Linked DNA regions of Drosophila melanogaster. The protein of the gene in region 4 purifies or fractionates together with the protein of the main gene of each other region. This does not show direct contact. Each region holds a gene or a part of one and is shown on either strand. Other genes may lie near its edges.

What was found.
Region 1: the proteins of scra (region 4) and Impbeta11 purify together in Drosophila melanogaster (affinity purification with western blotting, with the first as the bait; one study listed by BioGRID). This does not show direct contact.
Region 2: the proteins of scra (region 4) and pnut purify together in Drosophila melanogaster (affinity purification with western blotting; 3 studies listed by BioGRID, with this or other methods). This does not show direct contact.
Region 3: the proteins of scra (region 4) and Septin2 purify together in Drosophila melanogaster (affinity purification with western blotting; 2 studies listed by BioGRID, with this or other methods). This does not show direct contact.

The regions. Positions count from the first base shown.
Region 1 is NT_033778.4:15,680,981-15,687,931, forward strand, and holds Impbeta11 (importin beta11), read left to right. Parts: upstream 1-1,738; 5' UTR 1,739-1,824; coding exon 1,825-3,942; exon of another isoform or gene 3,943-3,953; intron 3,954-4,023; coding exon of another isoform or gene 4,024-4,421; intron 4,422-4,539; coding exon of another isoform or gene 4,540-4,721; intron 4,722-4,780; coding exon of another isoform or gene 4,781-4,826; intron 4,827-4,885; coding exon of another isoform or gene 4,886-5,102; intron 5,103-5,244; coding exon 5,245-6,354; 3' UTR 6,355-6,435; downstream 6,436-6,951. Other genes in the region: CG30091 (uncharacterized protein), read left to right, coding at 1-662, 718-763, 834-964, 1,032-1,423; CG30082 (uncharacterized protein), read right to left, coding at 4,024-4,421, 4,540-4,721, 4,781-4,826, 4,886-5,102; Cep89 (centrosomal protein 89kDa), read right to left, coding at 6,455-6,951.
Region 2 is NT_033778.4:8,235,516-8,240,834, reverse strand, and holds pnut (peanut), read right to left. Parts: upstream 3,565-5,319; 5' UTR 2,779-3,564; coding exon 1,159-2,778; 3' UTR 538-1,158; downstream 1-537. UniProt on the Drosophila melanogaster protein: Involved in cytokinesis and possibly cellularization. Also acts as an enhancer of the sina gene, thus having a role in photoreceptor development. May be involved in p53-dependent apoptosis.
Region 3 is NT_033777.3:20,585,591-20,590,177, forward strand, and holds Septin2 (septin 2), read right to left. Parts: upstream 2,767-4,587; 5' UTR 2,682-2,766; coding exon 2,534-2,681; exon of another isoform or gene 2,413-2,533; intron 2,406-2,412; exon of another isoform or gene 2,280-2,405; intron 1,868-2,279; coding exon 756-1,867; 3' UTR 539-755; downstream 1-538. Other genes in the region: Srp72 (signal recognition particle 72), read left to right, coding at 3,235-3,346, 3,408-4,435, 4,498-4,587. UniProt on the Drosophila melanogaster protein: Involved in cytokinesis.
Region 4 is NT_033778.4:7,588,589-7,595,759, reverse strand, and holds scra (scraps), read right to left. Parts: upstream 5,642-7,171; 5' UTR 5,317-5,641; coding exon 5,299-5,316; intron 5,193-5,298; coding exon 4,878-5,192; intron 4,815-4,877; coding exon 3,887-4,814; intron 3,823-3,886; coding exon 3,457-3,822; intron 3,399-3,456; coding exon 3,227-3,398; coding exon of another isoform or gene 3,175-3,226; exon of another isoform or gene 3,091-3,174; intron 3,066-3,090; coding exon 2,927-3,065; intron 2,860-2,926; coding exon 2,683-2,859; intron 2,622-2,682; coding exon 2,400-2,621; intron 2,343-2,399; coding exon 1,979-2,342; intron 1,866-1,978; coding exon 1,567-1,865; intron 1,504-1,566; coding exon 784-1,503; 3' UTR 518-783; downstream 1-517. Other genes in the region: CG1360 (uncharacterized protein), read left to right, coding at 6,071-6,165, 6,226-6,493, 6,789-7,171. UniProt on the Drosophila melanogaster protein: Required for cytokinesis. Essential for the structural integrity of the cleavage furrow and for completion of cleavage furrow ingression and proper formation of the midbody.

The DNA.
Region 1 (6,951 bases), 8.1 Mb from region 4:
GAGGGTCTACATCCACGATTCCTTCGCGATACAAAACTATCGCAATGACATAGCGCTTCTTAGGTTGCAAAAAAGTATCGTTTACAAGCCACAAATCAAACCGTTATGTATTTTACTGAACGACCAACTCAAGCCGCAAACGGATCTCATCCAGGAGTTCACAGCAATCGGCTGGGGCGTAACGGGCAATGGGAAGATGAGTAACAATCTTCAAATGGTCAAGATCTACAGAATAGATAGGAAAATGTGCGAGGCAGCATTTTGGTACACTTTTGATTACCCAATGTTCTGTGCCGGCACCGCGGTAGGCAGAGATACCTGCAAAAGGGACTCCGGTGGACCCTTGTACATACATATGTTGTTCGATGGCATCAAGCGAGCAACGCAGTTGGGAATCGTCAGCACTGGCACCGAAGATTGCAGAGGTTTCGGTATGTACACCGATGTAATGGGCCATATCGACTTTATCGAGCGCATTGTTCTGGATGCGGACATTGAGGTGGTGCTACCCTATATAGACCTACTCGATGCTGGGTGTCTGGGCAACGACACGTTGAACAGCTGGGATAGAAGTGGTCCCGATGCGATCAGGTCCTTCGAGTGGTTGGCTGAGGTCTACAAGGATTCCTTTATAATCTCAAACGGCGCACTTATTTCGAAAAGTTGTCATCTTTTCTTTCCTCATTCGAAAAGATTACTAATGTGTTCTTCTTGTAGCTTTCGTGGTGACAACGGCGCAGTTGATTTCCGAAAGTACGGCATTGTAAGTACTTTGATCCCTTGGGAGGAGAAAGTTGAGTAATCTGAGTGCAATTGTATGTACATACATCTAGAAAGGTTCAACTGGGACAAGGCGATGTGCATACCTACGCTGTCGCATCTGTTCACAAGCATCCCAAATTCGTTAGCCTGGCCCAAAACGACATAGCTCTGCTTAAACTGGGCGAGGAAGTGCAGTACACGGGTGAGTGTCTTCCAAAGGCCATACGGATTAGCTTCATAATCATAATGTGTTCATTTTATGCGGCTAGAATCGATTCGACCGATCTGCCTGCCCTCGCTAAGCAACAAAGCGGAGCAGCAGAAGTTCCAAAGGCGTGCTGCTGATCCCGCCCTGAATCTCATAGCCGTTGGCTGGGGCACGCCGACTAACGTGGTGGTGCGGCGAACAAATGCCAGTAAGTGCTACCGGGAGGATCACCAAGACATCGGAGAGCAACAGTTGTGCATGGAAAGCCCTTCTCCTCATCTCCTGCGCGTGGGCATTGGCAGTCCCTTGGTAAACCCTCTAACCCACGGAAACAGGAGGGCATTCAGCCTGGTCGGACTGGCGAGCTTTGGCAGGTTAGAGCCTTTCGCTTCAAATGTCTACACCAATGTTCTCGAATACTTGGACTGGATCGGGGAAATGGTTAAGGCGTAGAGAATTCTTTGAAAAGTTTTAAGTTCTGCGATATGAAAACCATTTGATTTAATAAAGTTAATAGTAATAATAATATCAAAAATTTCATATACTGTAAGCCCACTTAACGAGAAGTTTAAATGCTTGCAAAATTACTTATATATTCAGAAATACTATTTTAGTAATAGTTGTTATTAAATGTATTGTAATTTCTTTTAAAATTCCATTTCAACAAAAACTTAACAAACAATAATTTAAATTTGAAATTTTTTGCAAAATTATTTATATTAAAATTTGCTGTTTTAGTATTTTCCAGCATTTGCGGTCGGTCACACTGAAATTCAAGCAAGAAGCAGCACGCGCCGCAGAAATTTGCCAATAATTTTCGTCCTCGCAAGCGTCGCAAGAGGAGGCGTCGTGTGATGGAAATGGCAACGGGAGCAGTATCTGGAGCAGCCGCAGCGGGTGCTGGAGCGTCGGTGGAGCAGCTGGTAGCCCAGACACTGCAGGCGGCCACAAATCCGAGCCATGAGATTGTCCAGAAGGCGGAGGCGCAGCTGCGCGAGTGGGAGCAGCAGCCGGGCTTCTTTCCCACGATTGCCCGTCTGAGCATGCGACGAGGTGGCGGCGGCGACGTGGTGTCCAGTACGGAGGACTCCGAGGTGAAGGTGCGCTGGATGGCGGCTGTCTACCTAAAGAATGGCGTGGAGCGCTATTGGCGGCCCAATTCGCGGCAGGAACTGCCCGCGGAGCAAAAGCAGCAGATCCGGGAAGTACTTCTGCGTCACTACGACGCAGAGGAAGTGCCCCAGGTAGCCCTGCAGGTAGCCGTGCTCCTGGGTCGCCTGGCACGCACGGATTACCCGCGATTTTGGCCGGATCTGCTGCCGACACTCATGAAGCAGCTGCAGTCCTGCGGTACGGATGGGGATTCGGCCCTGCAGCAGCGAATTCTTATTGTCCTACACTATGTCCTCAAGGCCCTGGCCTCACGGCGTCTGATGGCCGAGCAGCGTGCCTTCCAGGAGCTGGGCTTACAGATATTTGGATATCTGGCGTGGGACATTTGGGCACCACTTACGACGCGCTTTTTGCAGCTCGTGCGAAAGGACGAGGCCATGGCCCTCAATGCCCTTCAACGGGCGTATGTGGTGATGAGAACCCTGCGCAAGCTGGTGGTCTACGGCTGTGCCAAGCCGTACAAGTCCACGGATCACATGAACTTTGTGGAGCAGCTTTTCCAGCGGTTGCGACAGTGCCTCGAACTGCGCTATGAACTGAAAGTGGGATCGGCCACACCAGGCACTGCCACGATACTCACCGAATTGGAGCGCTTTGTGATTAAGATGATGAAGACCCTCAATGAACTGATGGAGCGGCATTCTGTGTCCTTTGCGAGGTTCGTTCCTGTGGCCCTGGAGTTCAGCTTCCACTATGTGTTCCACGAGGGCACCGCCCTCATTTTCGACGCCGGCGATCGCATTAACTTTAAAAACTTTGCCATACAGGCGCTGAACATGCTGAAAGGTATCATGCTGAGCGGCAACGATAGCATCAGTGCTCCGCCCGAAGGTGGTGCTCACATAGAGGATGAGCTGTTAGCCAGCGCTGCTCAAAGCCAAGCCAAGTTCTTCACAGCGGAGCGAGTGACCTACATCTGTGAGAAGATCGTGACGCACTATTTTCTGCTCACTCAACAGGAGCTGGAGGAGTGGCAGCAGGATCCAGAGGGCTATGACCAGGACGACGGCGGTGGTGATGCTTGGAAGTACGCCTTAAGGCCAAGCGTGGAGACCCTTTATTTCACATGTTTTACTCAGCATTCGCAAGTGATGATTCCGGAGGTGCTCCGTTTCGTAAGGCGTGCCCAGCAATTGCAGCTGACCCCGGAATCTGACCTGAAGGCCATTCTACTGAAAGACGCTATCTACAATGCCGTAGGCCAGGCAGCCTTTCATTTCTTTAACAAGCTGGACTTTGGCGCATGGCTGACATCCCAATTGCTTGCGGAGCTGCGCGTGGAAGCTCTGAACTTTCGGATCCTACGGCGTCGCATCATCTGGCTGGTAGGCCATTGGGTTGGCGTCCAGTTGCCCAGAGAACTGAGACCGCTGGCTTACGAAGCATGCCTGCATCTTCTCCGGCCGCAGGAGGACATGCCCACCAGGTTGGCCGCTGCCAGGACGTTGAATCTGTTGATCGACGATTTTGAGTTTATGCCGGAAGCGTTCCACCCGTATTTTCCATCCCTCTTCGAGGCCCTCTTTTTGCTGCTCCATGAGGCCGGCGAGTGCGACACCAAGATCGTGGTGCTGGGCACGATGACGCTACTTGTGGAGAAGATGAGCGAGTACATCGAGCCGCAGGCATTGCAGTTCATTGCGTATTTACCCCTCCTGTGGCGCGAGAGCGAGGAACACGACCTTCTGCGCTGCGCCATCATTGGCACCCTAGAGCAGCTGGTTCGAACGATACGGGATGTCCCAGAGCCCATGAAGCCCTTCCTCTACAGCGTGATCGAGCTGAGCACGGATCTTCAGGTGAGTGATTTTTTATGTTTAATTCCATATGCTATACATTTTTTTTTATTTATTTACAATAAGAATTTTTACATAGTTGAGTCAGTTTTGAGTCCAGCGGGTAATACTGAGTATCCAGTTAGTAAAACTTGGAACGTATGTGTAGACTCCTGGCCCTCGACACAAGTAGTGACCATAGCTGACAATACCTAGCTGAACGGTGCGGGTTATGCGGCCATTTGACATTTTCCTCGACAGCGGACCGCCTGAGTCACCGCTACAGGTGTCCGCCCGCCATTGTCCAGCGCAGAACTGACCGTATGAAAGCGAAGTGCGCAGGGATCGCTCACAGTCGCTTTGGTCAAGCCTGATCAGGTTCACTGTTTGCAGAACTGTGGCGGTGTTGATTAGATCAATCTTACCCCATCCAGCGGCCTCGTAGGTGGAACTATAAGGTACTTGGCCTGGATCCCGGAACAGACAAATTGGTCGAATGAACACTGCAAATGAGAATAATAGTAAAGTAACTGTAATGCACACCGCTTAGTAGATCCGTTCATCCGTAGAGCAATATAAAATTGGGGATAAACTAAATTGATACATATGATGGCATCTAACATTTGTAAACGACGGTTCCATTTAGTTTAAGCAATCCAATGTCGTTGCGACTGTCTTGTCTTCCACCGAAGAATGTATGGATGTAGGCGTTCTCTACGCTGTACTCCTCATACGTCGGAATACAGAACTCAGATGTACAATCGATGCGTGTCGATGTGTCGTATTCCCCAAGGCGAACCGTTCTGTGTTTTAGAATTAATTTAGTTTAAAAATCAAATACGAGCTTATACTTTATACTAACAACAAATGGAAGCTGTGCAGGCAGTGCGCTGCGGTGAGTACAAACCCTAGGAAAATCATTGTTAAAAATACAATTCGTAAATCACAAATTTCCGAAGGTACAAACTTTTTGTGATCAATGTGCCTGTACAAACTAAAGACGAGTTTTTGTGCAAGTAGGCCAACCACGGATTAGATCCTATATCTGCAGTTCTACCTCCAACGATTCTATTCGTGGGCGGAAGATTGATGGTAGTTCCGCAATTGGGATCAATAAACTGGGCTCTTAGTTTTGGTGTTAGACAAACCAGAAAGGCGAAACTAGCAATCCACAGCGATTTCATCTTGAGGTCAACACTGGCTGTACTGATTATTTTTAATGGTTTAGCATTCATTCTTTCACAACAATCTTATCTGTAACTAAGCTAAAATATAGCATTTTATGAAACCGCAATGAGTAACAATACCTAACTTTTTTTCGCACAGCAACCCTCGCACGTCTACCTCATCGAAGATGGTATCATGCTCTGGCTGGCGGTGATTGGGAACTCGACTGCACTGACACCCGAACTACTTGGTCTGTGCGACCACCTTCTGCCTATTATCGAGATGTCATCGGAGAACCTGCGCACCGTGCTGCAGCTGATTCATGCCTATATACTGCTGGACGCTCAGGCCTATCTGAGTCGTTACGGTGAGGGTTTCGTGGCCTACTGCGTGCGCTCTTTCGAGGACATACGTGTGGAGGGAATAATTGCCATGCTGCGGATCATCGAGACATGCCTGAAAACGGACGCGGCGTTGGGACTGCGGCTGGTGCGCCCAGCACTGCCCTTTGTCTTCCAGCAGGTGTGCCTTAAGCAGGAGTATCCCATGACAATGGGATGGTATCTGACCATCGTGGCCCGCACCCTGCTCATTGACCAGTCTGTTTTCATGTCGGTGGTACAGCAATTGCCACAAGCGGACGCTTTGGCCCGCATCCTGGACGTTTGGATCGAGATGTTCCCAATGGTTCCCGACACGCACGCAGAGAAGAGAAAGCTCTTCTGCCTGGCCTTCGCCTCGATCTTTGGAAGCAATGAGCTGCTGCTTGCTCGCCTGCCACATATCCTGCAGCTGGTGGACGAAACGTTGGGCGAAGTGATGGACAAGCAGTACGCCGCCACCGAGGAGGGTGCGTCACAGGCCACGCCTCGCTTCTATGATTCATTGGTCATTCATGACGAACACGAGCTGGACGATCTGCAGCAGCAGCTGGGCAGTGGCGGCGGTGTCAGCGAGGAATTTCACACCAAGGGCTACCCGGCCAAGACCTATCACGACGACCGCCACAGGCAGTTGGTGCTCAAAGATCCCGTTTACAAGATCCCCCTTACCGAGTATCTCAAGTGGCAGCTGCAGTCGTTGCAGGCACAGCTGGGATCCCAGCGATATGAGCAGGTAATGTGCTCCGTGGTTCCCGAGGTACGGGAAAGGATTACCATGTACATAGAGCAGACTGTGCCCAAGGCCTGTGTGGTGTGCGCGGGCTCCGGCTCCGGATCGGGAGCGCCTGCGGACAGGACGCTCTCCGAACAGGTGGAGTCCGGCTGATTCCGGACTGCTGTGCTTTAAAAGCTTTCTACGCTAAGTTATTAATGTATTTTGTATTGAAATTATATATTTTTAATTGTTAAAAACTATGTTCTACGCGTTAATCCACCGCCGGTCTGCGCTCCATTTTGCCTCTAAGCAGCGCACATATCGTTTCCTCCTTCTGCTGTAACTTATGACGCAACTTGTCCATTTCTTCTGCATTCCGGGCATGCAATCCGCGCAATTGTGACTCCTTGTGCTGGACAAGTACTTCCAGGCGGCGTACCGCCTCGTAGGTATCGCGCACCTCAGCCTGCCCTGCCTCCAGCTTTTGGGCCCACTGCAGCGCCATTCTCAGACGAGCCTTAAGCCGATCTCTGCTGTGCTTGGCTTTTTCCGTGCTGCGGACCAGTGAAGCTGCCCGTGCGGTGGTGGCTTGCAGCTGTTCCTGGAGGCAAGTTCGCTCTCTCGCATGCTCCTGCCGCAATTGCTCAAGCAGGGCTTTGCACTGATGCAGTGCCTCGGATTCGGCGGGAACTGGAGGAGCAACCGCAGCGGGCGCCGCCGATGAGGCACTTTTAAGCGCGGCTAGTTCGGATTTAGTTCGCGCGTAGG
Region 2 (5,319 bases), 650 kb from region 4:
GAATATCTATTATTCTGACCTAAATTGTGGCCGCATAAGGCGAAAGATTGTATATGTACATGTACTGACTTATAGGGAGTGTCAGGCTTTTCGTAATTGCTTGAGTCGCACATATGGGCAAGAACTGCATAAAGGGTATTTCTTAGGAAACGAAAAGCATGATACTTTTAGGTGGCACCAACGGTTCGCGTTAGTTTTCACTGGTCCAATAAGCATCACACATACATACATACATACATAGCAGTGTGAGAGGTAAACACTTTTAATTGTTTGCGGCGAGTGATTTACCTATCCGCTTGACTCGAGCCACGTTCCCAGTCAATGCTCCTGCGGAATGACTCATCCATTAGCTCATGGTTAACTAAGATATTGAGAATGTAATCGTCATATCCAAATCGCCATATCCATCGTCATGCCTATCATACCCAGACGTGTGCCAAGCGGACCCGTTCCGCTGCAGTTGAGTAAACAACGAATTTAATATGGAATGCTTTTCAGCTTTTATGTAGTTAAACTAAGGAGAAGACTTTATTTTATAAAATGCAAGAGTATATTTTGTTTCTTGATGTTTTCTGCTGCGCTTGCGGCTTTTGCCTTGCTGGTGTGTGTTCGGGTGTTCAATGACTTTATGCATAATAGGTAAAATACAATTACAATATCAATAGCATACGTTATACATGGATTCGTTATTCGTTATAATTAATTTTAGGATCAATTTCGCCTCGCACTCGTACATTCTGCTTAGTTTTTATTATGATTAGGCTTTAAGATACTTAAGTATTTTGCAAATACCGTTTGTTACTGTCTCGATTTAATTCGTTTGCGTGTTCAATTCATTAGGCTAGCAAATGTGTTTCGTCAAGTAATGCGTGGATATATATTGGTAAAATACTGCAACTGCTATGTGTTATATGTACTTGTATAGTATGTAGAAAACAAATGCAACGCCGTCGCTGGACGATTGCTGTGCGAATAGAAGCCTTGTGGGGCGGCTGGGCCCAACAATAGATATATTTATGCACTTTTCGAATTACTTTATGTGGTAGGAATAAGAGTAGGATACGCTAGGGTTTTCATTTGCTTTGTTCTCGAGATTAGCGCTTAAGTATACGAGGAGCGGAAGGGGGTTTGGGGAATGGGGGTTTTGAGCGTGTTGACTTAGAACAGACCCTTCTTTTTCTTCTCCTTCTTGCCATCCACATTGTCCGTGCTGCTGTTGGCCCCCAGGCTGCGTCGCTTGAGCTCCTCGAGCGTCACGTGGTTGACATCCTCCCACTCCTTCTTCTCGCGCTCGAACTCGCGTCTCTTCTCCTCCAGCTCCCGGATCTGCAGCTCCAGCGCCTTCTTGCGCTCCTCGTGGCGCCGCGCCAGCTCCAGCTCCGAGTCCCTGAGCTTCTGCATCTTCTCCTTGACCTTCATGTCAAACACCTGCTCCATCTCGGCCTCCATCTTCTTCATCTTCTGCTCGTGCTCCCGCTTTTCCTCCTCCATCTGGGTGAGTGGGTTCTTGTTGGACAGCCTGGCCTTGCCGTCCACCAATCCCAGCTCGGATAGCTTCCGGCAGCGGTAGTTCTCGTAGTGGACGTTGTTCGTCACGTCCTTGAGGTCCTGAAGGTGCGTGCGTATGACCATGTTGCGCAGCGCTATAAAGTCGCAATGCGTCAGGTTCTCCACCTCCACCAGGCCCCAGGGATAACGCCTACCCCGGACCTTCTTTCCGTCCTGCTCGATGATGGTGTTGGCACCCACCACCGCGAATGGCACTCGGCTGCGCAAATTCTGCGTGGTTTTGGCCTCCTCGGCCGCATCCTCCAGCGTGGCGGGGAAGTCGTAGATCTTGATCTTGTGCTGGGCGATCTCGTTAAGGATCTGCTTCTTAAATAGATGCACCTCGTCGGGCGTCATGGTGTCCGCCTTGGCGATCACCGGCACCAGATTTACCTTGTCCGACAGGCTCTGCATGCAGGCAATGTCCAGCGGCAGGAGTCCGTGTCCCGATGGCGCTATGAAGTAGAGGCAGCAGTGCACCCGGCTGTCCGAAATGGTTTTTCGGTACACCCGCGACTCGGCTGTCAGGTACTCCTCGTACTTGCTATCCACGTACTCCAGTATGGGCACCCAGCAGTTGCTGTTGTCAACGGCATCACCGAATCCGGGTGTGTCCACCACCGTGAGTGTCAGATTGACGCCGTTCTCCTTGAGCATTACTTTGGTGGCCTCCACGGCCACGGTCTTCTTTTTGCGCAGCGAGGGGCCCGGATACTGTTCCGCGTTGTAGATGTCCGACAGGAACATGGAGTTGATCAGCGTCGACTTGCCCAGCCCACTGGCGCCCACCACCATCAGAGTGAACTCGAATCCCCGCTTGACGGCCTTGCGATAGACCTGATTGGGCAGGTTGGCGAAGCCCACATAGCCGGCGATCTCCATGGGCTTCTGGCGCACCGGGAGCGGTGGCTTCTGTGGCTTCTGCGCCTGCTGGTGCTCCTTCTCCTGCAGATCGTGGGTCAGTTTGTTCGAGTCGCCGTTGGAGGCGCCTCCGCCGCTGGTGTCCAGCTTGCCACTGGCGGCCACTGGCACACTGGGCGGCTGATTGGGCGGTCGTCCACCGACGCCCACCAAGGACTCGCTGCCGCTGCTGCCGTTCGTGGCAGAGGACGCCGATGCCGACGCAGCCTGCTGCTTGTCGCGCAGAGCCAGTTGGGCCAGAGTGCTGGGCAGAGCGGAGATGGCGCCGCCGCTGCCGCCATTAACCGCGTTCGAGCGAGGACTATTCATTGGAATAGCGCCAAATTCGCCTTTGAGCCTTCGATATTCGTTCGCAGGTGGGCTTCACTGTATTTATTCACTTTGCTTGCACAGAACCGTTGCTTTTTCACCGCTTTTGTCACGCCTACGCCAGCTCTTTTACGCTCTTACTTTTCTTGCATTTTCTGTGTCAGTAGGACCGTGCGCTGCAACGCGATAAATACTTCTGCTCCGCTCTCGCAGGCAACAACAACGCCCCAGCTCAGGCGCAGTGTGACCCTGGAAAATACCGGACGAGAGCCGCGAATATACCAAACGACGCTTGGAGTGAGAGCGCATGAGTAATGCGACACATACACACAGAGATACACGCACCCATACTGCCGCAGCAATGCACATGCAAACGGGCAAAGAGAACTATTTTCTGGTGGCCTTATCACTTGAAATGGAATGTTATGTTTAAAAATAGGCAATGAAACGCATTCATGTGTCCCAGCACTTGGGATTCCAGATTTCTGGCCTGAATGACTGCACTGGAGTGGCCACGGATCGCATTACAATCGCCCGCTGATGCACAGGAAGAAATTATCCGTCTAGATGACTTTGACTTTTGCCTTAAGCAGGGGTGGATTACTGAGGGGTTTTTTGACTACATATCGAACTATATTTATTTTAAAACATTTTCAGTTTATGTTTGTCCATTTTTATAGGGAATTAATTTCTATGGTACACCATAACGGGTTTTTAAATAAAATTGTTCACTACGCCCATGACTTTTGTGGTTACGGGTTCCCTTTAATTTTTGTTGCAATGTTGCGCATGCCCGTGAGAGCAGCAGAAGGAGCAGAGAAAGAAGAAGAGGAAGCTGAGCTTATCTCTCTCGCTGAGAACTAAAGATGCTTCTGTCGCGTGGGTGTTGTTATTGTGACGCTGAGAACTCGACTTTCGCTTCTCTCTCACACTTGCTATAATTCCATTCGACTCTGTTTGGAAAGAGGTTAGTGAGCTAACTAACGCCCCTTGTGGGCGTGTGAGAAGTGCCATAAAAAGGAGCTGGATAATAACTGGCCTCTGTCGTTTGACCCGCTTCATGCTCGAGTGTCCTCGTCGAAAGTTCCCACACACGCCTCGTCCTGGCACCCTCTCTACCCCACCCTCTACGCGTCATCGCATGCCGATGCATACACGCACACGGACAAAGCCCGTTGATTGTGCGCTCTGCGTTTCGGTTTGTTTGTAATTTAAATTCTCATGCACTTCTGGCGATCGTCACTGGTAGAGGGGGAGGGGGAGAGGGAGGTACTAACCACCACCATTAAGAGGGTCCTGCGTCCTACTCCGCCTGCTTGGTGGTGGTGGTTTCCTTCCTTCCTACCATCCAGCCTTCCTTGCTTCCGAACTTCCCCCTTTTGCACGTGGATTTCCACCAAACGCCGTCTGCGCGACAACAAGGTGATCGTGAGAAAGTTTTTTTCTCACATTATTCCAAAGCGACTCCTGTTTTAATTTTAGCCTCTATCGGAATTAATATGCATTTATGAATTGATATGACTCGCGGTGGCTCGATTTTTACCCTAGGGGATGACTGTACTTATTGGAGGATTTACAGTTGTTGTCGTCAAGGGAAAAGGTAAATCGAGGGAAGTTCTGTGGAATTTTGTGGCTAGAGATCCCCTTGTTTCTTGTTATTCTTACTAATTTGATTGTCGATTGCATTTTATGATCTCAATACATATTTTTTGTTCTAAAAAGTTATTTAATGAATTCTTTTTCATTCTTTATCAAACTTTATTTTAAGCTTTATTAATACATTTAACATTTATGACCATCCGAAACCATTTGATTAACCCAAAATATAAGGAGAAAGTCGATTTTATTCATTAAGTCTATTTATATGTATATTTACTTTAGCTTCCTTAAACTAATTTTATATTGCTTTTTTGGGTGCATCTTTAACGATTAAAAACATACGCGTATGTACTTTCGTACTTTTTTATAGCACTACTTTTTTATAGCACTAAAAAGTTGATTTTCTATTATCGTATTCATCAATGCTAAATACATTTCATTTTTGGCTGGGGGCTTCGAAACTAGATGTTTTTTACGACAGATGTTAGGTCTTGAAATGTGCCACCGCAACTGCAACCGCAAATCTTTACAGCGAACAAATCCCACCTAATCTCCCCGCAACCCTTCCTCGTGTTCATAGTTTTGAGATCTTGAGCAGCTGTTTCGCATCAGGCACACTCCATACGAAATCCATTCGGAGACGCATCTTCTTCAATATTATGTAAGATGCTTGCCAGCAATTAGGGCCCGCTAGAAGCCAGAGGAAAACCCGTGCGCCCCTGAAAAGTCACTATTTCTTAGCGCCGACCATTGTCCGGGCCAAGTCCATTGTTCTCGTGGCTCGAAGAAGTGGCGGGGGATGCAGCCGGGAGAATGGAGTCGGCAGCTGTGCCAATTCTTGGCACGAGAGCAAGGACAGTTTAGTGCAAATGTTGGCTTAGGAGCAGCTGATCCACCAAGTGACCGTTACATCAGCTGGCATGGGTCACCAATCAATGGAAT
Region 3 (4,587 bases), on a different chromosome or scaffold from region 4:
ACAAAAAACAAACACAAAGGGGTATCTTGCTTTTTGCCAACGGATACACCCACTTTCATGGACTATTCTCTACGTTGAACACGGTTAATTGCTTTCGTTTGGGTTACGGAGCACTGGACTCCGTGATTGCGTCGAATTCGCTGCGGTGATTCTATTATTGCGTTTTTAATTTGTTCTATAATTTTTGCAGCCTGCAGTGAATGAGTGGGTAACAGTGTGACCAGGTGGCAAGCACAAGACAAGTAAAATAAGGCCGTACTACACTTACGTCCTACGAAAAGCCCGCCAATCTTGAAATTCAAATTACCATGTTTTTGTATTTAAAAAGCGGAGCTTAAAAGAAATTCAAGGAAAATATAAACTTAATATGTATTGATACATATCAATCAGTGACTTCTAAGGAAACCAGGATAATCTTAGATAAAATGTTATTTTGTTGTCTTTATCCAGCGGTGCCTTCAATACACACTTAAAAACACATTATATCGACAAAAGTTTACAATTTTTTGAATACAAGTTTCCGGCAAACAGCTCTTTTCTACTTTGTTAAAATACTAAGTTCGATTTATTCGTTAGTTGTAAATACATAATCATTATATGCCTGCGTACATATGCGTGTAGTTGTGTATATGTTAATATTTGAAGTAAACTTAATAGTACAAATGAAAGACAACGAGATGAGAAAGCAATAATTACTTTGGGATAAGCGAACCGCACAGAATTCTCAATACATTGTGAGGCGGCGGCGCCGGATTCTACTTCTTCTTGCTCTTGCCGAGGGTGAGCGTGTGGTGGGCGGTGGCCAACTGCTGCTTGCGCCGCTGGAAGTCAAGGTAGTCCTCCTCGAGCGCCTTGCGCGACTCTTCCAGCTTGCGCTTCTCCTCGGCGTGATCCCGCTTTAGCTTCTCGAACTTGGCGTGCAGGTCCTTCTCGCTCTCCTTCAGCTCGGCCTCCTTCTCCTTAACGCGCTGCACGAACATCTGACGAACCTCCTCCTCCTTGGACTGCAGCTCGGCCAAATGGTTGGAGCGCTTTGCCTCGAACGTCTGCTGGAACGAGATGGGCTTGTTGTCGCTGTCCACATCGCTGAAGCCCATTTGCTCCAGCCTCTTCTGGCGATACAGCTCGTAGTGGCGCGTGTGTGTCTTTTCGCGCATATCCTCCATGTTGGTGCGAATGAGCATCTCGCGCAGCTTCACAAAGTCGCAGTGCGTCTCGTTCTCCACCTGCACCGTGCCCCAGGGGTACTGGCGAGCGCGGATGAGCTTGTTGCCCACCTTAATAAACTCCGTGCTGCCCACCACGGCGAAGGGAATGTGCGAGTTCATGCTGGTGTTGGTCTCGGCCACCGTCTCATCGTCGGTGGGGAACTGGTAGATGTGCACTCCATTGGCGTTTAGCTCCTGAATGATCTTCGCCTTGAAGCGCTGTAGCTCAACCTTGGAAATGGTATCCGCCTTGGCAATCACCGGAATTATGTTCACCTTGCTGTCCAGCTTCTTCATGCACACCAGGTCCAGCGATTTGAGGCCGTGCCCAGTGGGGCAAATAAAGTAGAGGCAGATGTGGATGCGGCTGTCGTGGCATGTCACCAGCGATCGCTTGATCTTCAGCTCCTCCTGCAGATAGTTCTCGAACTGTGCGTCGATGTAGTCCACCACCGCCTTGAACGAGTCGTCCTTGTTGATCTGATCGCCGTAGCCAACCGTGTCGCAGATGGTGAGCTTGAGTCGCACATTGCTCTCCTGCAGCTCGTAGGTGTGTGCCTTCAACTTGACGCTCGGCAAAGTGTGGGGACTCGGCGTGGACTCGAAGCTGGTGTTGAACAGCGTGTCCATCAGCGTCGACTTGCCCAGTCCGGTTTCGCCTGCGGAGCGTAAAGATTTCGAAATGCGGGTCAGATTTGTGCCAGATTTGGGGAACCTTAGCCTAAGTGAGCTCAATTGGCCATAGAAGCACTGCGGCATTGGTGTCAGGGTGAAATTGTAGAAAGTGGCGGAGGCAATCGATTGCCGGCCACTTTGCATACTAATCGTATCTGGGCGTCTGGTTATTTCAATTGTTTACCCGCTTTTATGTACCTAAGTGATTCACTTTATCTGAGCAATGCACTCCAACATGAGACACTTGAGTACATAGCACAGCGGTGTTCAAAACAATAGCATCTTTATTTCAAGATGTGCTGTGCAATAGTCTTTGCTTTCAATAAATAATTGTATTTCTAATATGATTTTACTGATTTTACTCGTATTAAAGTTTAACAAATAAAAAGCACACACCTCGGTTTTTATTTCATTCTCTCTGCATCGAGCTACCACTGTATGTCCAATTTCTAATTGGTGTGCAAACAAAGCCATCTTTGAGTTAAGAAGCAACAAAAGTTTGAAACCTTCTCCAAGTGACTCCTTTATGGAATATAAAAAATCAGTGCTATTGCTTTGGTCACCACTGTTTTGTATGCAAGCAAAACTTCGGTTGATTCACTGTGCCGCATACACACGCACACACGCAAAGTTCACCCGCATATACACACCTATACACATGACGTTGAAGACGAATCCATTCTGGACACTCTTGTTGACCAGTTGGTCAGGCAAGCTGTCGAATCCCACGTGACCGGACTGCTTCAGGGTGCGGAGGTGCACCTCCTTCTTGTCGACGAAATCCACCTCAACGGACATTTTCCAATAGTCAAGTCAAATAATCCAATAATCCGGGCGCAGAGTTTGGATCAAAGGCGTCGCCAGCGAATATGCAAGTGTGGCCAGATACGCGGAGCCCAAAATACCAGCGGCTCAAAGAAGTGTGTGGATATAGATGAACAAGAAAATTATAACTTAACAAAGAATTAAAAAACAATTATTTAATGAATTACATGTGCCATAATGGCAAATAGTGAAACGAAATTGATAATCAAACAGTGAAATGCACTTCATGGATTAAGATTTTAGTACACATCATTTAGCGTTTCAGTTTTTAATAACTAATAATAAAATGTCCCATTCATAGATATTTATGCATAAGTTATTAATTAAATGTAAATAGTTTAAAAAATTAAATGTCTTAACTGTTTCCGCCATCTGGCATCTCTGGTTGCACACAGAAGCGATCTGGCAGGTCCGCATTGCTGATGTGTCTACAGCTGTAAAAACTTGCATGTTAAACGGAAAGTCGAAAGTTTAAGTCAGTGAATAAAATATATATTACCACCCACTAACGTGCTGAGCAAACAGGATGTCAAAGGACGCTAATCCCAAGGAGGCGCTCATAAAGGCGGCTTACGCTGATGTGAATAAGTTCGGCAATAACCAGGAGTTTGACAAGGCTGTCAAGGCAGTGAATCGCAGTAAGTTTTTCAGATTACCGAGGTTATAATCCAGAAGATGACTCCCTATGATCTCTCATAGTCCTAGGCGTAGCGCCCGACGATCCCACCGCCCTGCACTGCAAGGTAGTCTGCCTGGTGCAGCTTTCCAAGTTCGAGGAGGCCTACAAGTTTATTGAGAAAAATCGACTGTCCTCGCTTTTCTTTGAGAAGGCCTACTGCGAGTACCAACTTAACAAGCAGCAGCAAGCGCTTAAGACCATAGACGATGCGGGTCTGCAGCCCCTGCCTCCGAACCTTAAGGAGCTCCGAACCCAGGTCCTGTACCGCTTGGAGCGCTACGATGAGTGCCTAGACTCCTATCGCGACATCATTAAGAACACCAGTGACGAGTACGAGGAAGAGCGTCGGACCAATCTCAGCGCCGTGGCCGCCAACTTGGCTGTGGATCAGACCAAGGAGGTGCCCGAGGTGCCGGAAGACACCTACGAGCAGTACTTCAACAGCGCGTGCATCCAGGCTAATCGGCAGAAGTATGCTGAAGCCGAGCGCAAGTTGCGCACCAGCGAGAAGCTCTGTCTTGAGGATGAGTGTGCCTCCGAGGAGGAGATCATTGAAGAGGTAGACGTCATTCGCGTCCAACTGGCCTATGTCCTCCAACTGCAGGGCAAGACCAAGGAGGCGTCCAGCATCTACGCGGACTGCCTGCGTCATAAGCCAAAGGACGCAGCCCTGGTGGCCGTGGCAAGCAACAACTTGGTGGTGGTCAATAAGGACCAGAACGTCTTCGATTCCAAGAAGAAGATACGCGCTGCCCTAGCCGACGCCTGTGAGTCTAGGCTCACCTCGCGCCAGAAGCAGGTCATAGCCCTCAACAACTGTCTGCTAGCACTTTACACTAATGCCGGCGACCAAGTGCAACAGCTTAGCCAAAAGCTAGCTCAGACCTACCCGCAGGTGGAATTCGAGGCGCTGCTCATTCGCTGCACCCAGCTGGCCAAAGATCGCAAGCACAAGGAGGCCATCGAGCAGCTACAAAAGTTCGCTGCAGCCCACAAGTCGCACGAATTCGTCAGCAAATTTGCCATCATACAACTTCAGCTGCTTCAGGTAAGTTGCCATAAGTCGTAAGTCGAAAATGGAATCTTATTTTTTGTATTTCGTTGCTTTAGGGCAACCGCAAGGATGCAATTGAAACACTGCTGTCATTGGGCGAAGCCAAGTACAAGCCTGGCGTTGTCTCCGCTCTAGTATCCCTTTAT
Region 4 (7,171 bases):
AAAATATATACATACATATATACCTATACGAGAAATATATATCTATACATTTGATAGTGTTGTGAACTAGAGGAACCCACACTGAACACTCCGCCGGCGGCAATGCGTAATCCACTTTTGTAGATAGCCTTTAGGCCGACCTTTAGGCCAAGTGACAAACGCAAGGAAGTTACAATCTTCCACCCAGAGTCAATTGAGATGGCCAAGGAGCAGACACACTGACTACCTGACATGAACCACCTACACAGTACAGAAAACCTGGTGCCGAAGCCGAGATGGGCACTAGAACAGCCGGCGTCGTGATAACACGCAAGCTTTAACTTTCACTTGTTGTTAGATTCCGGATGGTCAGAGATAAAAAGATAGTTAACACGCGGAAGCCACGTAGCGATTTCTTCTTAGCCACGAGTTCTTGCAAAACGATATACATATGTGAATGTAAATGTGTACTACGTGTATAAAAGTATTCAATAAACTATATTAAATAATCAGTGTACAATTGGCGTTAGTTCTTTTTACGGGGGTTTACACATATATATTTAGCGAGTCATCCTAAATTAAATGTACATAAGTAAAAAGTTATGTCGATATAGACGAACACGAACGTGTCCCACTCCAAGATGGAAACGAAAAATTTGAATTGGAAACATAAAACAAAATTAATACCAATGCGAACACGATTAAAATAGCAAATTGAGTAACTTAAAAAGAGAAAACTGTTAACAACCCGCCCGTTTGTGGTCATTGTCCGTGCTGCTGACAAAATTGCAATGGGTCAGCGGGTCAGTGGGTGGTTCCCCAGGCGCGCAGCAGTGTCAGTGCCTTGTTAAGGTAGGCGCACCACTCCTCGCGCTCCTCCTTTGTGTCGGCTGAGAGCAGATGGCGCACCGTGGTGGTACGTCCGTTGGGTACGATTATCAAGGACTCTTGGTCTGTCTCCAGCGCCGGCCGTTCGCACTCCAGCAGCATGGTGTTGAGACGGGCGCAAATGTCGCGCGGTGCCGTGGTCACCTTCTGCGAAGTGCAGGAATTCAGATCTATACTACCCATTGGCGTCTTGCGCTTCTCATCATCCGGGTACTTCCAGTAGTTGATCACGGAGCCATTCAGATAGCACCAACGACGATGCCATGCCCCGAAACCGGAGATGTCTTCGAACATGGTAAGGAATCCCTTGTACTCCACGCTTACGGATAGTTCGCAATTGACTTTCATGTGAACCACACCCTCCAGTGGACTGACGCCCAGCACCTGGGTCAGCGTCCATGTGGTGCGTTGAATTTCACGCAGCGAGAAAATGGCAAAGCCGTATTGCACCAGCTGCGGTGTCCGTACCACATGCGGTCCCGCCGGACTTTGTACTGGCGGCATCACCAGTCGATTCTCGCCGCCCTTCTTCTTTGGCGTCTTGATGCCACCCTTCTTGTTCAAGTTGATGTGGTATTTCAGCTCGTGAGGCAGCTGATCGCGTTGGGCCAACATGCCATAGATTTCTAGCGTGATCTGCAGACGAAGTTTTCGCAATAAAATCGAATATTGGCTAAAGAAGCAAAAAGCAATATTTACCCTGAAGTCAGCATATACATTGTTTAGTTGCAGGACATCGGGAAACTTGACAGACAGCAGCCCTGGCATCGTGGGTACTGTCTTGGTGGCCAGCACGTGCTCATTGTACTTCAGGAGGCACACAAGATGATGGCCGTTAATGTTGTTCGAGGCCATTTTACGCACGTACTCCTGTCGCAGTGGAATGGTTATGTCCTTGACCGTCAGTAGGCCCTTTTCTTTTGGTGCACCCACCGGACGAATACTGTTCTCAACTCTTAAACGCTGGACTTCATCCAAACACGCCTGGCGTCGATGGGCTGCAAGGATATTAAAGAGATGTTCAGCTTAATTGGACATTCAAATTGCCAATTCGGTTTGGAATTCAACGAACAGGCAATTTATACTTGAATACACTGAAGATCACACTTACTTGCAAGAAGGAGATATCGCTCTCCCTCCACGGACTCTGTGGAGCCGGAGAATTCTACGGTGGCAGCACAAAGGTTGAGGGCCTGACTGGCTTGTCCTATCACCTGCTGCTGCTTGCACACCTCGCTCAACAGCTTTTTGATCTTGTCTTGTGCCTGCGATGCATCGTTTACTTCCCGCGCATTCTGCATCTCTTCATCGTCCTCGTCGGTCTGATCAGCTATGTCAGTTGCTGCTGCGACATAATCAGACTGCTGAGGAGAGTCGTACTCCAGTCTGTGCTTGGCATGACAATCGCCTGCTAGGGCTGATCGCATGACCTGCTGCTCTCGACAGATCTTGCGAACCGGTGTGGAATTGGAGCTCTATAAACAACGAGTACTTAGAATTTGTTAGTTGTGATATATAAGTAATCAACTCACGTTAGCGCTCTGTTGGCGGCGATAGAAGCTGACCGTGTGCACCAGGGTAACCAGGTTGTCGTTGTCCTGGTTGACACTCAATTCAGACTTGACCGGCTGGGCACCACTGAGCAGTGGCGTCTGCAGGTCCATCTCCATCTCATGGTGCTCTTCGATAGGCGTGCAAATAGAGGCAGGATTTTTTCGGAAGGAAAAGCTGTTTGAGGCCGTCGTTCCTTTGCTCTGAAAATGTAATTAAAGAATTGTTTTGATATACGAGGAAACTTAATCAGCAAGTACTCACGCCCAAGGACAGCCGACTGGCATTTTGCTCGTCCCCGCTGTCGCTCTGGTCATCCTGAGTGCTGCCGTAGTCCTCGACAAGTGCTTCATCCAGATAATCATCGATGCCCGCTGAGACCTGCGACGAGTTCAGAGAGCTGTCATCGTAATACATGTCCTGGTCCGCATAGCGCACAGTCTGGAAAGGTGTGAAATCGTGTTAATGGTGACCACCCGCTGTGTTGACAGTTTTTACCTGCACTTACCTTCTTGCCCGTCTGCTGCTGCTGCATCTCCACTTCGTTGCGCTGCACTGCGCTCATTATCTCGCGGCCAAGACTGCCATTGCACATGCCGGCGCTACTGTCCTCAGTCTGTGACTGGTCGTCGGACTCATCCATGCAACTGCACGAATCAAAGATAAACGGTTAGTTAAGAAAGCGATTTTATTGTTGGTCTTGTCTAGGGGATGGGGTTTAAAGCTATGTCTCTTAGGCCTATCAGTCTTGGAATGCTACTCGATGCAGAGCAGAAATAGCAAGCAGGAATAGCATTTTTCAGCGCACCTTTCGGTTTCCTCCTCGTCCTGTTGATGGCTGTCATCCGTAGCGGAGGCAGTTTCGGCGGCGCAGCAGTTGTCACCGCTGGAGTCGAGGTCGGACAGGGCGGGATACAGACGATCCGAATGCGATTTGCGGGCTCGCTTCGAATCCTCGTCAGTGGTGGGCGCATCACCAGCTGAAATTGCGGATGTATAAGGACAAGTCCTTAGATAAAGGGTTTAGTCATTTCTTACGTGATCGCCTCTTGCTGCTGGCCAGTCCGGGCGAGAGAGCAGCGATGGGCGGTGGTGGAGGCGGTGGCATGGGCCGCACTACTCTGCTGGGAGCTGGCGCGGGAGGTCGAGCTTGAGCAGCCACAGAACTATCGGATGGTTGATTGTCAAAGAGCTCCTTTTGTTTGTTAAAGCGATTAGAAATAATCTGCATGTCTTCCTGCCTTTGGCGATCAATGTCCTTGATACGCGTCTCTGCACTTGATTGCGCATTTGCCACCAAAGCGGCCACCTTGTCACGCAGCTTGTTTTCCTGTTTCGGCTTGGTTGCTGCAACCACGGTAGTAGCTGCGGCAGCAGTCACCGGATGCATTGCAGCTAAATGTTCTGTTAACAAAAAAAAAATGAGTATGAGTAGCTATTATGAATATAGAAGGGCTGCCAAACTCACGTTTCACCTCTTCCGCTCGGATTTGGGTAATACTGGGAGCAGATCCTATTGGCGCCATCGGCAACATCGCTTTGTTGTTGCCCGTTTCGAACAGCTTCATCCGCTCCTTCAGCGACAGCTCACAAGGATCCTTCTGGTTGCGTAGGCCTTGCGACTGTCCTCCGGTTCCCTTGTTTTCAAAGAGAGCCGCCCGTCCGGAAACCAAGCCGGACTTCACACTAACAGCAGGCGCTGGTGCGGGCTTAGGCGCTGGGGCGGAAGATGCAAAGTTCTTGGCGACCTGGCTGACCGTCGTTGATTTCTGCGGCACTGGCGGCTTGGCAGTTAATACCGCATCTTCCACTTTGGAGGCTGGGGCCGCCTCTTCCTGTTTGGCATAATCATATGTGTGTTTAATGGTCGATGATTCGCGGCGCTGAAAACCTTGTGCCTCCAGAGAGCTCAATACCTTGGGATCCCACTTCAGCTGCTTGGTCCTGCTTGCCTCGTCGACTTCATCCTTCTTGGGTGGCAGTGGAGCTGGACCCTTCTCGGCCCTTCGACTGGACAAATGCGGTTTCGGTGGAGGTGCTTCGAGCAGTCTGTGCACTTCGTGGTGCGACGTGTCATCCTCCCACTGATTGATGGTATCCGCCAAGGCGGCCAGTTTGCCCAACCGTTGTTTTGGTTGCCTGCTGCTACGGTTGCCGCAGTCCTCTTCCTCACCCGTTGTCACATGGAACTGCCCCTCGGTTCGGTGGATTGGGGAGGATAGATCGTCCGTGTTTGAGTACAGGGCACCCATGCGTTGCAGTCGGCTGCGGGAAGTGTCCCTTAGCCTGGCTAGGGGCTGGTTTACTGGTTCCGCCTCCAGCAGGGGATTTAGCGCACCTCCTTCCGCCTGCTCTTCGTCATCTGTCACCTCCTGCTCCTGAATCTCAACTTGCACCTGAAGGTAGTGCAGCAAGGATGAGCAAAAGGGAAGAACCCAGAAAAGAACGGGAAAACTTACCCCAATTGGCTTGTCCGTGGTTATGTTTATCTCTATGCCCATATCCAAGTTTTCCTTGTTTACCGCCGTATAGTGACGCAGCGGCTTCGCCGGCGACGCCTCCAGCGTGGCCTTTCCCAACGTAACGACCTTGCCGCCGCCGCTAGCCGCGCTCTGGCCTCCAGGCGACCGGCTCCTCGGTGCCAGGACCCCAGCATCCCCGCCGGATGCGGAGGTGGCGGAGGAGCTTGGAACGCTGCACTCGACGAGCGGAAATTTGCTGGCATTGCTGATGCCAAGGGCGCGACTGCGCTGTTCCGCCTTCTCGAGCATGTGCTGCAAGGGAAAATGGGAAATAGCAGTGAAAATCCGCGGGTGCCTTCACTAACACCAGTGCAATCACCAGACAAAGGGCTTTGCTGTGTGCGAATTGGCCTCGTACCTGAGTAAACGGGTCCATTGTTGTTGCTGCAGCTGCAAATGCAAATGCGAGTTGTGATTGCGCGCACTATGCTATTGAATTCACTGTACTGCTCGACACTCCACGTTGGCGATATTTGATGTTTGTTTTTCACTGGCGGGTTGCGCGTCCGTTTGCATTCGAAATTCTGCGCGTCGCTTCTGCTCGTTTCGGCGGTTGGCTTTTCAGATGTGTTGAATAATTTCAAAACGACGCGCAAATGCCATAGGACCCTCAACTGACCACGACGAAATACCGAAATTGGGGAGAAAATGCCAGTGGTGAGTTGCCAAGGGCTGCCACTTTGTCGTATTTGGCAGGGTGGCAGCTCTGTCGCACATCAATGGTTAAACCGGTTCACCAATCACACATATTTACCGGTTTAATTTCGGCCGACAGCTGTTTATTTTTCTTAAAGCGTTATCAAAAAGGGTTTTTATTGATGTTATAATATGAATATCCAACCGTAATTTACCACGTATCACTTTCAATATTTATCACGCATAGCTGGTAAGTTAAGAACCTGGAATTAGGCTTGAAATGCACCTTTGATTTCTCTGGTGAGCTGCACACGTTGTGCCGTCAGTGCTGTATGTTTTGGCTAGAATTTTGGCATGTTTCCTCTATTTAGGCTACCTCTTTAAGTTTGGCTTTTCTGTTGGGGTTTCGTTAATTAATGTAGGAAAACATTTCTGGAAATAATTACGCTTAAATATATAGAATTTGTTTTTTCAGTAAATTGTCAGCGTCCGCCATGAGTGACCAAAAAACAGTAAATTTGCTGTGGAACTGTGCCTCCAAGCTGACCGACCAAACCCACACAGAACGGATCCTCAAATCCTATTACATGTGAGATCCGTTGTCAATTCCTTAAGCACCCACTAAAATTTCGTTTCCAAAACAACCCAGAACCACCTGTAGGAAGCTGGCCCGGCACAATGTCCAGTTGCCCGAGGAGAGCTTTGGACCCGCACGCATGTGCTCCCGCTGCGGGAACCAGTGGACAGGTGGCCGCTACCAGCTCCACCTCCAGCCACAAGAACTGATGCAGAGTGCTAAGAACCGGAGACTGATCACCAAGCTGGAAGCCGTGAAGGGCAAGATGGCAAAGGGCGAGATGAACAGCGGGGCCAGGAAACGGGCCAAGTGGCTCAAGAAGCGTATGGCCAGTAACATGGTGAGAACCAGGAGCTAATAGAATGTCTAGAATATGTCTAGATTGTGGGAAAAAATACTTTTATTTCTTTAATTTCATAAATATAAATATAATATCTCTTTGCTTCCATGGATGAATGGTATAGATGGATAGTTTAGTACCTTATAAGCGCAATATAAATTTATGTATCAAGCTTCTGGGCAAATAATAATTTAAATTAACACCAAGGAAGCTGAAAGATCTTTATACAGTGTTTTGTGTGTGTACATATGGACCCATTCCTGCCACTCTAACCACAACCCAATTCATTTTGCAGGCCGTGGACTGCGATGTTTGCCATCACAAGACAATGTTGGCTCTGGAGAAGAGCCGAAAGCGCGCCAAAGTAAAAGCCACGGAGGAGACAATGGTAGTCACACAACCTGCGCCAGCGGGCCAAAACAAAAAGAAGGCCAAAACGAAGAAGTCTCAGGCGCCGAATAAAGATATCAATGCAGGCCTGAAAATGCAGCAAAAAGCGCCTCAGCGACAGCAGCAGCCTTCGAAATCGCCAGCTCCATCCAAAAACGCGTCCCAACCAGTCGGCATAGCTTCCCAAAACCCAAGTCAGACATCGAAGAAGAAAAAGAAGAAGCCTGCCCAGCCAGCGCCCACCGCACCAAAAACGCAGTCCAAAACCCAGAAGCAGAACGTACTGCT